3 linked regions of the Caenorhabditis elegans genome follow. The protein of the gene in region 1 purifies or fractionates together with the protein of each later gene. This does not show direct contact. Each region holds a gene or a part of one and is shown in the gene's direction. Other genes may lie near its edges.

The links.
Region 2: the proteins of moma-1 (region 1) and ndua-12 fractionate together in Caenorhabditis elegans (co-fractionation; one large-scale study listed by BioGRID). This does not show direct contact.
Region 3: the proteins of moma-1 (region 1) and ndub-10 fractionate together in Caenorhabditis elegans (co-fractionation; one large-scale study listed by BioGRID). This does not show direct contact.

Annotation. Positions count from the first base shown.
Region 1 is NC_003281.10:850,750-853,992, reverse strand, and holds moma-1 (MICOS complex subunit MIC27), read left to right. Parts: upstream 1-1,596; coding exon 1,597-1,863; intron 1,864-2,159; coding exon 2,160-2,448; intron 2,449-2,497; coding exon 2,498-2,547; 3' UTR 2,548-2,662; downstream 2,663-3,243. Other genes in the region: rnp-5 (RRM domain-containing protein), read left to right, coding at 85-167, 215-856, 909-1,053. UniProt on the Caenorhabditis elegans protein: Sustains mitochondrial morphology probably through maintaining cristae morphology. May act as a component of the MICOS complex, a large protein complex of the mitochondria.
Region 2 is NC_003282.8:2,718,134-2,721,889, reverse strand, and holds the start of ndua-12 (putative NADH dehydrogenase [ubiquinone] 1 alpha subcomplex subunit 12), read left to right. Parts: upstream 1-2,055; coding exon 2,056-2,156; intron 2,157-3,232; coding exon 3,233-3,388; intron 3,389-3,756. Other genes in the region: ubxn-2 (UBX domain-containing protein 2), read left to right, coding at 787-875, 1,181-1,325. UniProt on the Caenorhabditis elegans protein: Accessory subunit of the mitochondrial membrane respiratory chain NADH dehydrogenase (Complex I), that is believed not to be involved in catalysis. Complex I functions in the transfer of electrons from NADH to the respiratory chain.
Region 3 is NC_003279.8:10,517,360-10,521,115, forward strand, and holds ndub-10 (NADH dehydrogenase [ubiquinone] 1 beta subcomplex subunit 10), read left to right. Parts: upstream 1-2,000; 5' UTR 2,001-2,001; coding exon 2,002-2,158; intron 2,159-2,546; coding exon 2,547-3,109; intron 3,110-3,191; coding exon 3,192-3,254; 3' UTR 3,255-3,402; downstream 3,403-3,756. Other genes in the region: nlp-4 (Transthyretin-like family protein), read right to left, coding at 10-299, 349-493, 541-543; exos-3 (Exosome complex component RRP40), read left to right, coding at 1,022-1,185, 1,237-1,513, 1,563-1,802; UPF0598 protein F59C6.12, read left to right, coding at 3,512-3,570, 3,617-3,699, 3,742-3,756.

The DNA of each region.
Region 1 (3,243 bases):
TCTCTTCTTCTGCTCGAACACCACGCGGTGAAAATTTTCTTACTTAGTTGATGTCTATTCGAGTATATGAAATAATTTTTCAGTATGGTTGAGAAAGAAGAAACCAAAAAGAGGGCTCGCTCGTCTTCAAGCAGCTCGTCCAGTAGCTCTGGATCGTCATCTTCTGGGTATGCTTTACAATTTTCATACAATAGCTTAATAATCGATATTTCAGAAGTAGTTCATCAGGATCTCGCTCCTCCAGCTCATCGTCCAGTGGCCGTTCTCGTTCTCGCTCACCACGTCGTCGTGATACCCGCCCACCAGCTCGTGGAGGACGCTCTCGTTCTCCAATCCGTCGTGGTTCACCGCCAAGAGGAGCACGCGCGGATCGCGATCGCCCAATGCGACCATCACCATCACCACCACGTCGCCGTCGTCCATCCCCATCGCCACCACGTCGTGATCGTCGTGACAGAAGCGGGAGCCGTCAGAGGAGACGCGCTTCTCCGAGGAGAAGCCCAGCAGCAAGATCAGCCAGTCCGGCCAAGCGTGTAGTGATCAAAAATTTGAGCAGAAATGTTCTGAAAACGCACCTCGAGGAGATTTTCTCGATCTACGGAGCCATCAAGAATGTCGATCTTCCACCAGATCGCTTCCATAACCATGTTCATCGTGGATATGGATACGTTGAATATGACAATTTGGAAGACGCCGAAAAGTCGATCAAGCACATGGATGGAGGACAAATCGATGGAATGGCTGTTCACGTCGAAATGACTATCGGACGACAATCTGTCCCATTCCAGCGTAGAAGTTCTCCATTTAGAAGACGCTCGCCGCCACCAAGAGACAGAATGTCACCAATGAGAAGAGGGTAAGTAATCAAGGAAAAGTAGTATATTTTGATAATTTTCATCAAATTCCAGAGGCCGCAGTCCACCACCACATCGCAGACGTTCTCCAATGGGCGGCCGTGGCTCAGGAGCCAACAATATGCCACTTGGAGGGCCCAACAGATTCCGCCGTGCCAGCCGCTCTCGTTCTCCAGCCGGCAGAAGATCGCGTTCTTAAACTTCCATTACTGACGTTCCATTTTAAAACCCCATTCTAAACTGTCCAAATTCTGAACATCCTTTGTTTATTATTCTTCTGTTTTGTTATGCAAAAGATCTCCCCAATTTTCGTTTTTTTAATAAATTATTTTGGGTGTTTTAAGGGTAATTTGGATTGGTTAAAGACATGGTTAATTGCCTGTTAATTATCTATTTTAATTTTAAAACCGTCCTCAGAGGGGTTTAAATGTTAGAAAATATTTAAAAAAAAAACAAGAAAGCCTGGCGCGAAATATATAGTAGCGCAGGCGTCGGTGTCGATTTATGAAAAAGTGGTAATTAAATACAAAGAAAATCAATTTTAAATAATTGTTTAAAGGCGCATCGTGAATAAACACAAACTCCGTAAATCGACACAGAGCCTGCGCTACGAGATATTTTGCGCCACAAATGTAGGAATACTTATTTCTTCATGGTTTTTTAATAATTATAATAAGCTAATCAATTTTAAAATATTTATTCTTGTTTTATTATTTTATTGTTTTACCGCTTGATTTTCCAGATGACACAAGACAAGCCGATTGTGGAGACAATTTCAAACGCCGGTGAACAAGTGACAAATGTTTTTGGACAATTCTGGCAACTTGTCACCTCGAAAAACACGACGAATAATGGAGATTCAAAACCTATTAAGATTGAGCAACTTCCGATTTATGCTGAAGATAATGCTCCACTGAAGCAGAAATTCCTTCCAGAAGAGCCACTTCCTCTTCAAAGAGAATTCGCGACTATTCGTATCGCATGTGAGCAGGAGTATGATCGTGTTGCTGTGAGTTTTACGCGATTTTATGTGGAGAAAAAATTATATTTCGTTTTTAATTGGTTTTTTTTTAAAAGAAGAGTTTGGATTATTTTATTTAGCTAATTTTTTGTATTTAAGTAATTATTTGATATCTGTAGTTTTTTCAAGTGAAAACCGAATGTGTTTCACAAAAGAAAAAAATACATTGAAAATATCCATTTTCGAGAGGAAATTGAAAATTTTTAATATCATTAAATTGAGTAAAAGTAAAAATTAAACTAATTTTGTGAAAAATATATTTTTATCACCGATTTTTGTTTCAGGAACGCTTCAAAGTTGTCGATTGTGCGATGACTCAAACAAAAAAAGCGGCGACCAAATGCAATGCATATCTGACAGAAGAATGGACTGCTCTTCCAAAAGCCGCAGCAATCACCGTTGGTGGAATGGCCGGATTCGTTTTAGGCCTGAAACGTGGCCCGGTCGGACGTCTCCTCACCACTACCATCGGCTTGGCCACGATGGCCGCCTTTTGTTATCCGATAGAGGCTGTTGACGTGGCAAAGACCGGAAGAGCTCATGCTGAACAAACTTGGTATTCCTTCCAAGAATGTAGGCTTGAAATTTCTGAAAATCAGAGAGAAATAAATAAAATTTTCAGCTCCAACTCCATCTGCCATCGTCAAAACTAACTTGAGCCCACCGAAATAATTGGAAAATAATTGTTTGTGTGTAAAAAATATCCACTCGAATGTCTAGCGGTTTCTTTTTTTGTGTGTGCGCCGAACCCAGTGTTCCTGTAGTAGTGAAATAAAAATGCGATTTTTATGCAAAATTTGAAGAAAAAAAAACTGAGAAAAACAGAAAGGGAGGCACTTTTTGGACAAATTAAGAAAATAAATCTTATGTATATAATATATATATAGAACGGGCGAGGGTGGGGAAGGGAGAGAAAGTCACCCGCAAAAATTTAATCTAGGGGATGGTGAGAAGAGAGGCGCGGCACATTTTTTTGTTGATAAAATTGGAAAATTTATATTGGAACACAGAAATATTTTTACTTTTTTTTTAGGAACTTTTCACTTTCAATCAAAATCAAAATAATTTAAATTTCCAATAAAAACTTCGTCTAAACAACGAAAAAAGAAAAATTTTGTAAATTTTCCGAAAGTTTCAAAAAAGGTGCAGCACATCTCTGGTGAGAAGGCGAGAGGGCAGCGGGGGATCAGCATTATGGGTGGGCATTTTAATTTCAAGAAAATTTTGAATTTTCAGTGGGTGTAAATGTATGGCTATAAATGATTTTAATGTGGCTCGTACATATTTTGGCATATAATCACCCCGCCACTTTTTTTTCGATTTGTGTATTATTTCCCCTCATTTTAATATTATCCATTTTAATAAAAC
Region 2 (3,756 bases), on another chromosome or scaffold:
TTCAAATCGGATAAAATAAGCTTCAAAAACACTCTAAAATTAAATGATTCTGATAATAAAATATTCAAAAATTCGCTTAAATTGGGAAAAAAAATCGGTGGCCGAACTTTCGGATTTCTAGACCATCAAGTGAAAAGTTAGTCCAGCCCATTTGAAAATAGCTAGACACAATTCAAAATGGCAAGAAGACGTTTGTGGAGGACTAACATCTCAGTTGGTGGCCTAGAAATTCAAAAGTTCGGCCATCGACTTTTAAAATTTTATTTTCTTCCAATTTTTCACAAAAATGTGCTGAATTACTAATTATTCGATGGGAAACCCGAAAAAAATCGGTGGCCTAACTGTTTTAAAAAGTCGGCCACCAATTTTTTTCGCGCAAATTTGACCGTTTTTTCGTCAATTTTCCAAATAAAAAATTGCTGGCCTAGAAACCCAAACCTCGGCCACCTATTTTTCACCTAAAAACCGTACCTAAACACACCATCAGGACGCTTTTCTGCTCTCCGACGCTCATTTTCTGGGAAAAAATCAGATTTTTTTCCTGAAAAAAACGTGAAAAATCAATAAAAATATCACAAAAAGGTCGTAAAATCCTTCAAAAAATCAATAAAAATTGGCAAAAAAAAATCGATAAAAATCTACAAAATTCATATGATTTTAAACACAAAAAAAACGGAGAAAAATCTACTTTTTCGAAAAAAAAAAATTTCAGGCTCTAATTATAGATTTTCAGTCGAATTGTGGCTTCTTTCCTGATATTTTGATTAATTTTAACAAAATTTTCAGATCCAAATCCGTCTGCCAAACAATCAGCGTCTCGTCGGTATTTTTAATCATTCTCACACACTTGAAGCAGTTCGTACATTCATTTGCACGTGAGTTTTCAGCCGGAAAAAGCTATTAAAAACTCTCATTTTTCACTAGAAAAAGTAGATTTTTAGAAAATTTCGAATTAAAAAAATAAAAAAATCATCTAAAAATCACATTTTTAGCCTGAAAAATTCGAAATTTTCCAATGAATAATTATTTTTTAATAATATTTTTCTGATATACACAGTGATAGAAAAATTACATTTTTCAAATTAAAAAATTACATTTTTCAAATTAAAAAATTACATTTTTCTAGTTTTTTCTTTCAAAAAACTCAAATTTTTTTAATTTAAAAATTTTGATTTTCCAGCGCCCGCCCAGATATGATCTACGCTCCATTCCAAATGATGGCTGCCTACCCTCCAAAACCATTTGAAGACGAATCACAGACTCTGAAGGATGCAAATGTGCTCAATTCGGTCGTCGCCGTGAAAATCTTGCCCACCACCAACTGAGGAGATTCCTGACGCTGCTTTTTTGGCGGGAAAATTGAAAATTGAAAATTTCATCTGAAAAAATTTCGAATTTCTACTCGTTTTTACCCCCCAAAACCTCTCAAATTCCCTGAAAATACCTGTATTTTACGCTAAATTATTTGATTTTTTCCCCCCATTTCCCAATATCGTTTTTTTTCTTTCTTCTATCACACTTTAATGCATAAAAAAAGTACACCGTTTTCTGTGAAAAATTGCGGCGATTTTTATTGATTTTTTGTTTTGGAATTTGCGAGTTTTTCAAGCTCTGAAATATTTTTTTTATTTTTTCCAGATTTTCAGAATTTTTCAATTTTTAGTGAAAAATGCACATTTTTTACAAATTTTCCATTAAAAATTCAATTTTAAAGTCAAATTTTGAATTTTTCAGATTTTTTCCCAATTTTTCAGAGAGAAAAATCCTTCTTCTGCGATTTTTTGGTGAAAAATTTAAAGTTTTCAAAAAATGTAAAAATTCACTTTTTTTGTTCCAATTTTCCACTGAAAAATCGATTTTTCCCTGATTTTTTTCAAAAAATTCAAGATTTTTCAGTGAAAAACTCGAAAAATATCATATTTCACAGGAAATATGGAGTTTTTCGCCAAAAAATTTATAAAAAATTTTTTTTTGAAAAAATTCACAAAATGCTTGGTTTTTCCTCCCCACATTCCGTTAAAATTTCCCATTTTTCCAACCAAATTTACATTACAGATGTCCCTGAAAGCGTGGCTGGGAATCGATAAAATCCAAAAGTTTGGCCAAATGGTCAAGGAGATTGGAGGTGTCAAAGCGGTGCTTAAGAAGCGTTATTTGTAAGTTTTCAGGTGGAAAAATGGCTGAAAATGCACTAAATTAGAAGAAAAACGGTCGAAAATTACCTGAAAATCATAAAAATCGAAAAAAAAATCGGTGGCCGAACTTTTCGATTTTCTAGGCCATCAGGTGAAAAGTTAGTCCCCCACACAAAACTGACCTGACCTATCACGCAGAATGTCAAAACAAAATTGGGGGACTAATTTTTCACTTGGTGGCCTAGAAATCCAAAAGTTCGGCCACCGATTTCTGACAAATTTTTAATTTTTTTTTTCGATTTACAACAATCGAATTTTATTTTTTAAAAATACATCAAAAAATTGATGGCCTAACTTTTCGATTTTCTAGGCCGTCATGTGAAAAGTTAGTCCGCGGGTTGATAATCGCTTGAAATCACCTGAAAACGAGCGAAAATCAGCGGGGACTAACTTTTCAGCTGGTGGCCTAGAAAATCGAAAAGTTCGGCCACGAATTTTTTTTTTGAATTTTTCAGTATTAAAAAATTCAAAAAATGTACGAAATTTGTCATGAAATCTGTCAGAAATCGGAGGCTGAACTTTTTTGGATTTCTAGGCCACCAAGTGATAAATTAGTCCCCCAATTTCATTTGGACATCCTGCGCGATACGTCAGGTCAATTTTGTGTGGGGGACTAACTGTTCACCTGATGGCCTAGAAAATCGAAAAGTTCGGCCACCGTTTTTTTTTTAATGAGTTTTATGCCAATTTTACACTATTTTCGCTTAATTTCATCAAAATTTCGGTTGAAAAATTGAATTTTTCGAATGACTCGCGTCGGAAAAATGACCGGAGAAACATAAAAAACCGAAAAAAAAATCGGTGGCCGAACTTTTCGATTTTCTAGACCAGCGAGTGAAAAGTTAGTCCGCGCGGGCTTATAATCGCTTAAAATCACCTGAAAACGAGCGAAAATCGATGGGGACTAACTTTTCACATGGTGGCCTAGAAAATCGAAAAGTTCGGCCACCGATTTCTTTTGTTTTTTAATGATGATTTTTAGGCCAATTTTACACCATTTTCGCTCAATTTACATAAAAATCTTCTCAAATTTTCAGAATGGACGCGACCCGCGTCGGAACACTCGTCGGTTCGGACAATTTCGGCAATCGTTACTACGAGAATAACGCGTATTTCGTGCCACGCAACCGTTGGGTCGAGTTTCCCGACAAAGTTTGGCTCGACTATGATGCGACTCAAGTGCCACCGGAATGGTACGCAAAAAAATGACGACGAAAAATGAACAATTTTGCTGTTTTTTACACGAAAAATGGCCTAGATCGGCCTAAAATGGCCTAGAAATGGCCTAGAAAATGGCCTAGAATGGCCTAGACAAATACAAATAAAAATAGATGACATAAAAATCATGAAAATCGAAAAAAAAATCGGTGGCCGAACTTTTGGGTTTCTAGGCCACCAGGTGAAAAGTTAGTTCCACCACTCAAATTTGGCCCAAATCACTCAAAATGTCCGGAAAACATGGTGGACTAACTTTTCACCTGGTGGCCTAGAAATCCGAAAGTTCGGTCACCGATTTTCAAGCCTAATTTTCGTGTAAAAATGCGCAAAATTGTTCATTTTT
Region 3 (3,756 bases), on another chromosome or scaffold:
AAATTATTATTATCCACATTTCACAGTAACTTCGGCAGGATTCTTAAAGCGAAGATCGACTTTTCCAAAGTTGTACACTTTCTTCTCATCAGGAGTCTTCGAGTTAACAGTGACATTGAGTGGTGGGATTGGTTGGACGATTTTCCGATCGCAACGATGTGGAACTTCTTTAGATTCCCAGCATCTGTGAATGATAACGACATAAGGAGTAATCATATAAGCATCAGTTGTCACATAGGCTTTGAAATCAAATTCTCCTTTCTCGTTTGTCCATCGATCCATAAAATCTTCGTATCTGACTGAGAGTAAAGATTTTAGATTCAGTTGAACGATTTCAAACTCTCTTACACATTTGTGCTTCAGAAAAAATGTCCATTGGCATGTTGGCAGCAGGGACATCATCACACACAAGTTGTCCTTTGATATGCACGGAAAAATCTGTCTGCTTCACGGCCAGACACGTGGCAATAATACCGGAAAGAACAACAACTAGCTGAATGGGAAAACTTTAACTTCAAAAAACCTAACTATATTACATACCATTTACAAACCAGTTTGACCACTAAAAACTCAGTTGAACTGTATTTGAAACTAAATTTTTCTCGGTGTACGTGTCGATATTTATTTTAAAAAATTGCCACGCATTTATGTTTTCAGTGTTATTTTTCTTTTAGTCCTTGACAATTAATATTAATTGCAATTTCCAACATATCAAATAAAAATCAATGGGTACGGTATACAACACCGCAAACACCGTCACGTCAAGTCGCAGACTTTCAACAGCCGCTCCATTTTTATTTCTTATTTTTCTAGTTTTTCCGTTTATTTTGCGAAATATTATCACTTTTTGATTAATTTTATTGCAAAAATTTACAATTTTCAGTTAATATACTCATTGAAAACACTTTATTAACGTAGCTTATTACGTTATTCCTCCTGCGGTATTTAAATTTGGTTTTTCTATTCGCCACTACTTTTTAAAACGTTATTTTGTTCATCATTGAGTATTCAATTTTCAGAAATGACCGTATATCTCCCTGGCGACGTTATCAATGAACCTTCTTCAAGCGATTCCTCAATCATTGGCTACGGAATTAGTGTACGTGGCCAAACGAGAATTGCCACTCAACCTGGAGCTTTCCACAACGATGATGGAAAAGTCTGGTTAAATGTTCACAGCAAAAGGTAAGAATGATCACGAACAACATTTAAAATCACAATTTTTCTTAAATTCAGATATATACCACAGGAAGGAGACCGAGTAATCGCTATTGTCACTTCAAAAACTGGTGATTTCTTTCGTTTGGACATAGGAACTGCCGAATACGCCATGATCAACTTTACTAACTTCGAAGGTGCTACTAAAAGGAATAGGCCGAATCTAAAAACTGGAGATATTATTTATGCAACAGTTTTCGACACAACTCCAAGAACTGAAGCAGAGCTTACCTGTGTGGATGACGAGAAACGAGCACGTGGAATGGGACAGCTAAATGGAGGATTCATGTTCAAAGTTAGACACGAAATTTACTATTTATTGTAAAATTTAAAAATTATTATAGGTCTCCTTGAATCATTGTCGTCGACTAATCAACCCATCTTGCAAAATTCTTCAAACTGTTGGCAAGTTCTTCAAATTCGAAATCACTGTTGGAATGAACGGAAGAATCTGGATTAGTGCTTCGACTTCTGATGATATTATCAAGATTCACGATATTATCAATAAATCAGAGTTTATCACTGACGAAGATGAGCTTATCACCCTGGTTCAGAATAATTACACACGATCTGTCAGTGATTAAGAATCTTTATCTCAATTTTTAATTTTTCAGTGTAATTCCTGCTATTGTTGATTTTTTTTTCCTTTTGTTGTTGAACTTTTTAAAAATTTAATTTATCGTCTTGTTCTATGTAATATTTCAATTTTCAACGTTTCTTCGTTGTTTTAATATTTATTACTCAATATTCTCAATTCACAATGGAAAATTTTCGACATTCAGTATGGGTGAAGGCTTAGTGGAGCAACGTCAAGCTGACGATAAAGCATCTTGGGATGCTTACTGGAAAGTTCGTGATATCGATTCACGAGGATCCATCTACCCACGATTCCGTTATTATGCCCATAAGGCTTTCGACGCCCCAGCAACTTGGTTCAGAGGTAATTTTTAAAATTCTCAAGTTGGAGAATCATTTAAAGAAGAAGCAGCTTTGAAATTAGATTTAAAACCATTTACAAAATGTAAGAATTGACAGAAAACAAATTTCGTTCAAGTTTATTTACTTTCACCATTTGTTTTAATTCCAAGTAATTGATACTGTCTACGGTTTTATCCAGATTCAAAAAATTTGGGAACTTGTGGTGCAAGTAAAGGTTAATTTCTAATTCCCATATCATTGCTGTAAATTATAATTTTAAACTAGAAAAAAACCAAAGTTATTCGACTACCTCAAGCTGATGTACAGTTAGTAGTTGCAGTTCCACATAATAAATCAACTAGGCAAAACAATCCATTTTAATCTATTCTACTAACTCGTCAGCTTTTCAGAGACTATTGTGCAACCACTCAACAACAAGAACCGTCTACCCTACTATCACCGTCAACTTACACGTGTTCCGGAAATCGACGAATGCGGAGTGAACGACAAGGCCTGCTTCTACGAAGCCAATGAGCAGTACCGTCTTGATAAAATGGTCGATGGATTTATTCTGCAAACCCTCCGCCAACGTGTTGATCGGTGTATGCTTTACAACAATCCTGATCATTCACCATGTGCCAAGGTTATTGAGGATATGGAAGAGAATGAGTTGAATTTCTTCATGAAATACGGAGAGTTGGGAGGAGAATCCGATGTTCGTGATGCTTATATGAAGCAGAAGCATCGAATGATCTGGGAACGACGTCATCCAGAGATTATGGATGAGCGTGCAGCTAAGCTTGCTGATCATAAAGCACGACTTGCTAATGGAGAGTTTGACTATTCATTCTGGAAGAAGGGAATGTTCTATCAAGACAAGAAGAACTATGAGCCACCATATGAGTTCCAAATGAGCAAGTCAGCACTCGAGGGTGACAAGCCATTGTCCAAGGATTGGGAATACTACAAGAAGGTAAATATTCTTTCAAGATTTAATTTTAAAAAAGAAGCTACGAGAGAATCCTGGATCGAAAATTAAAATTTTATATTTTCAGGTCTCACAAGACCCAGAATTCGACAAGGATCAAGGAAAGAAGTCCGACTTCCGTCTCTTCTAATTCTACGCTGTCAATCTTTTCTTTTTCAATGAAATTTTTTAGAACGAATTGTGTTGAGTTTTCTTATTCCGTCGTAACAACTTTTTTTTCTTTTTCATGTTGCGTTCTTTTATTCCATTCAGAAAGTGAATAAATGTAGATTGTTTGATTGATTTATAAAGATTTGAATATGAATTTATGAGAAACGGAAATATTACCAGTCAGCTTTTCTTTTCAAATTAATTTAAATCAAAATTTAACTTTTTTAAGTTTCGGAAATGATACTGACATTTGCACGAAGTCTCTACACACAGGGGCAGTATAACGGAAAAATAAGGTTTTATTTTTAAATTAATTGTTTCTTTTTGAATTTGAGTTTTCAGAGAATATTTTTACTATGTGAGCCACAATGGTTTCCTATTTCTGGACGATTCGAGAATGAAGAATTTTACAGCGGCTTATAAAGGTTTATTTTACAGGAAAAACTGTTAACAAATCGAAATTTCAGATATTCAGTTTCTTA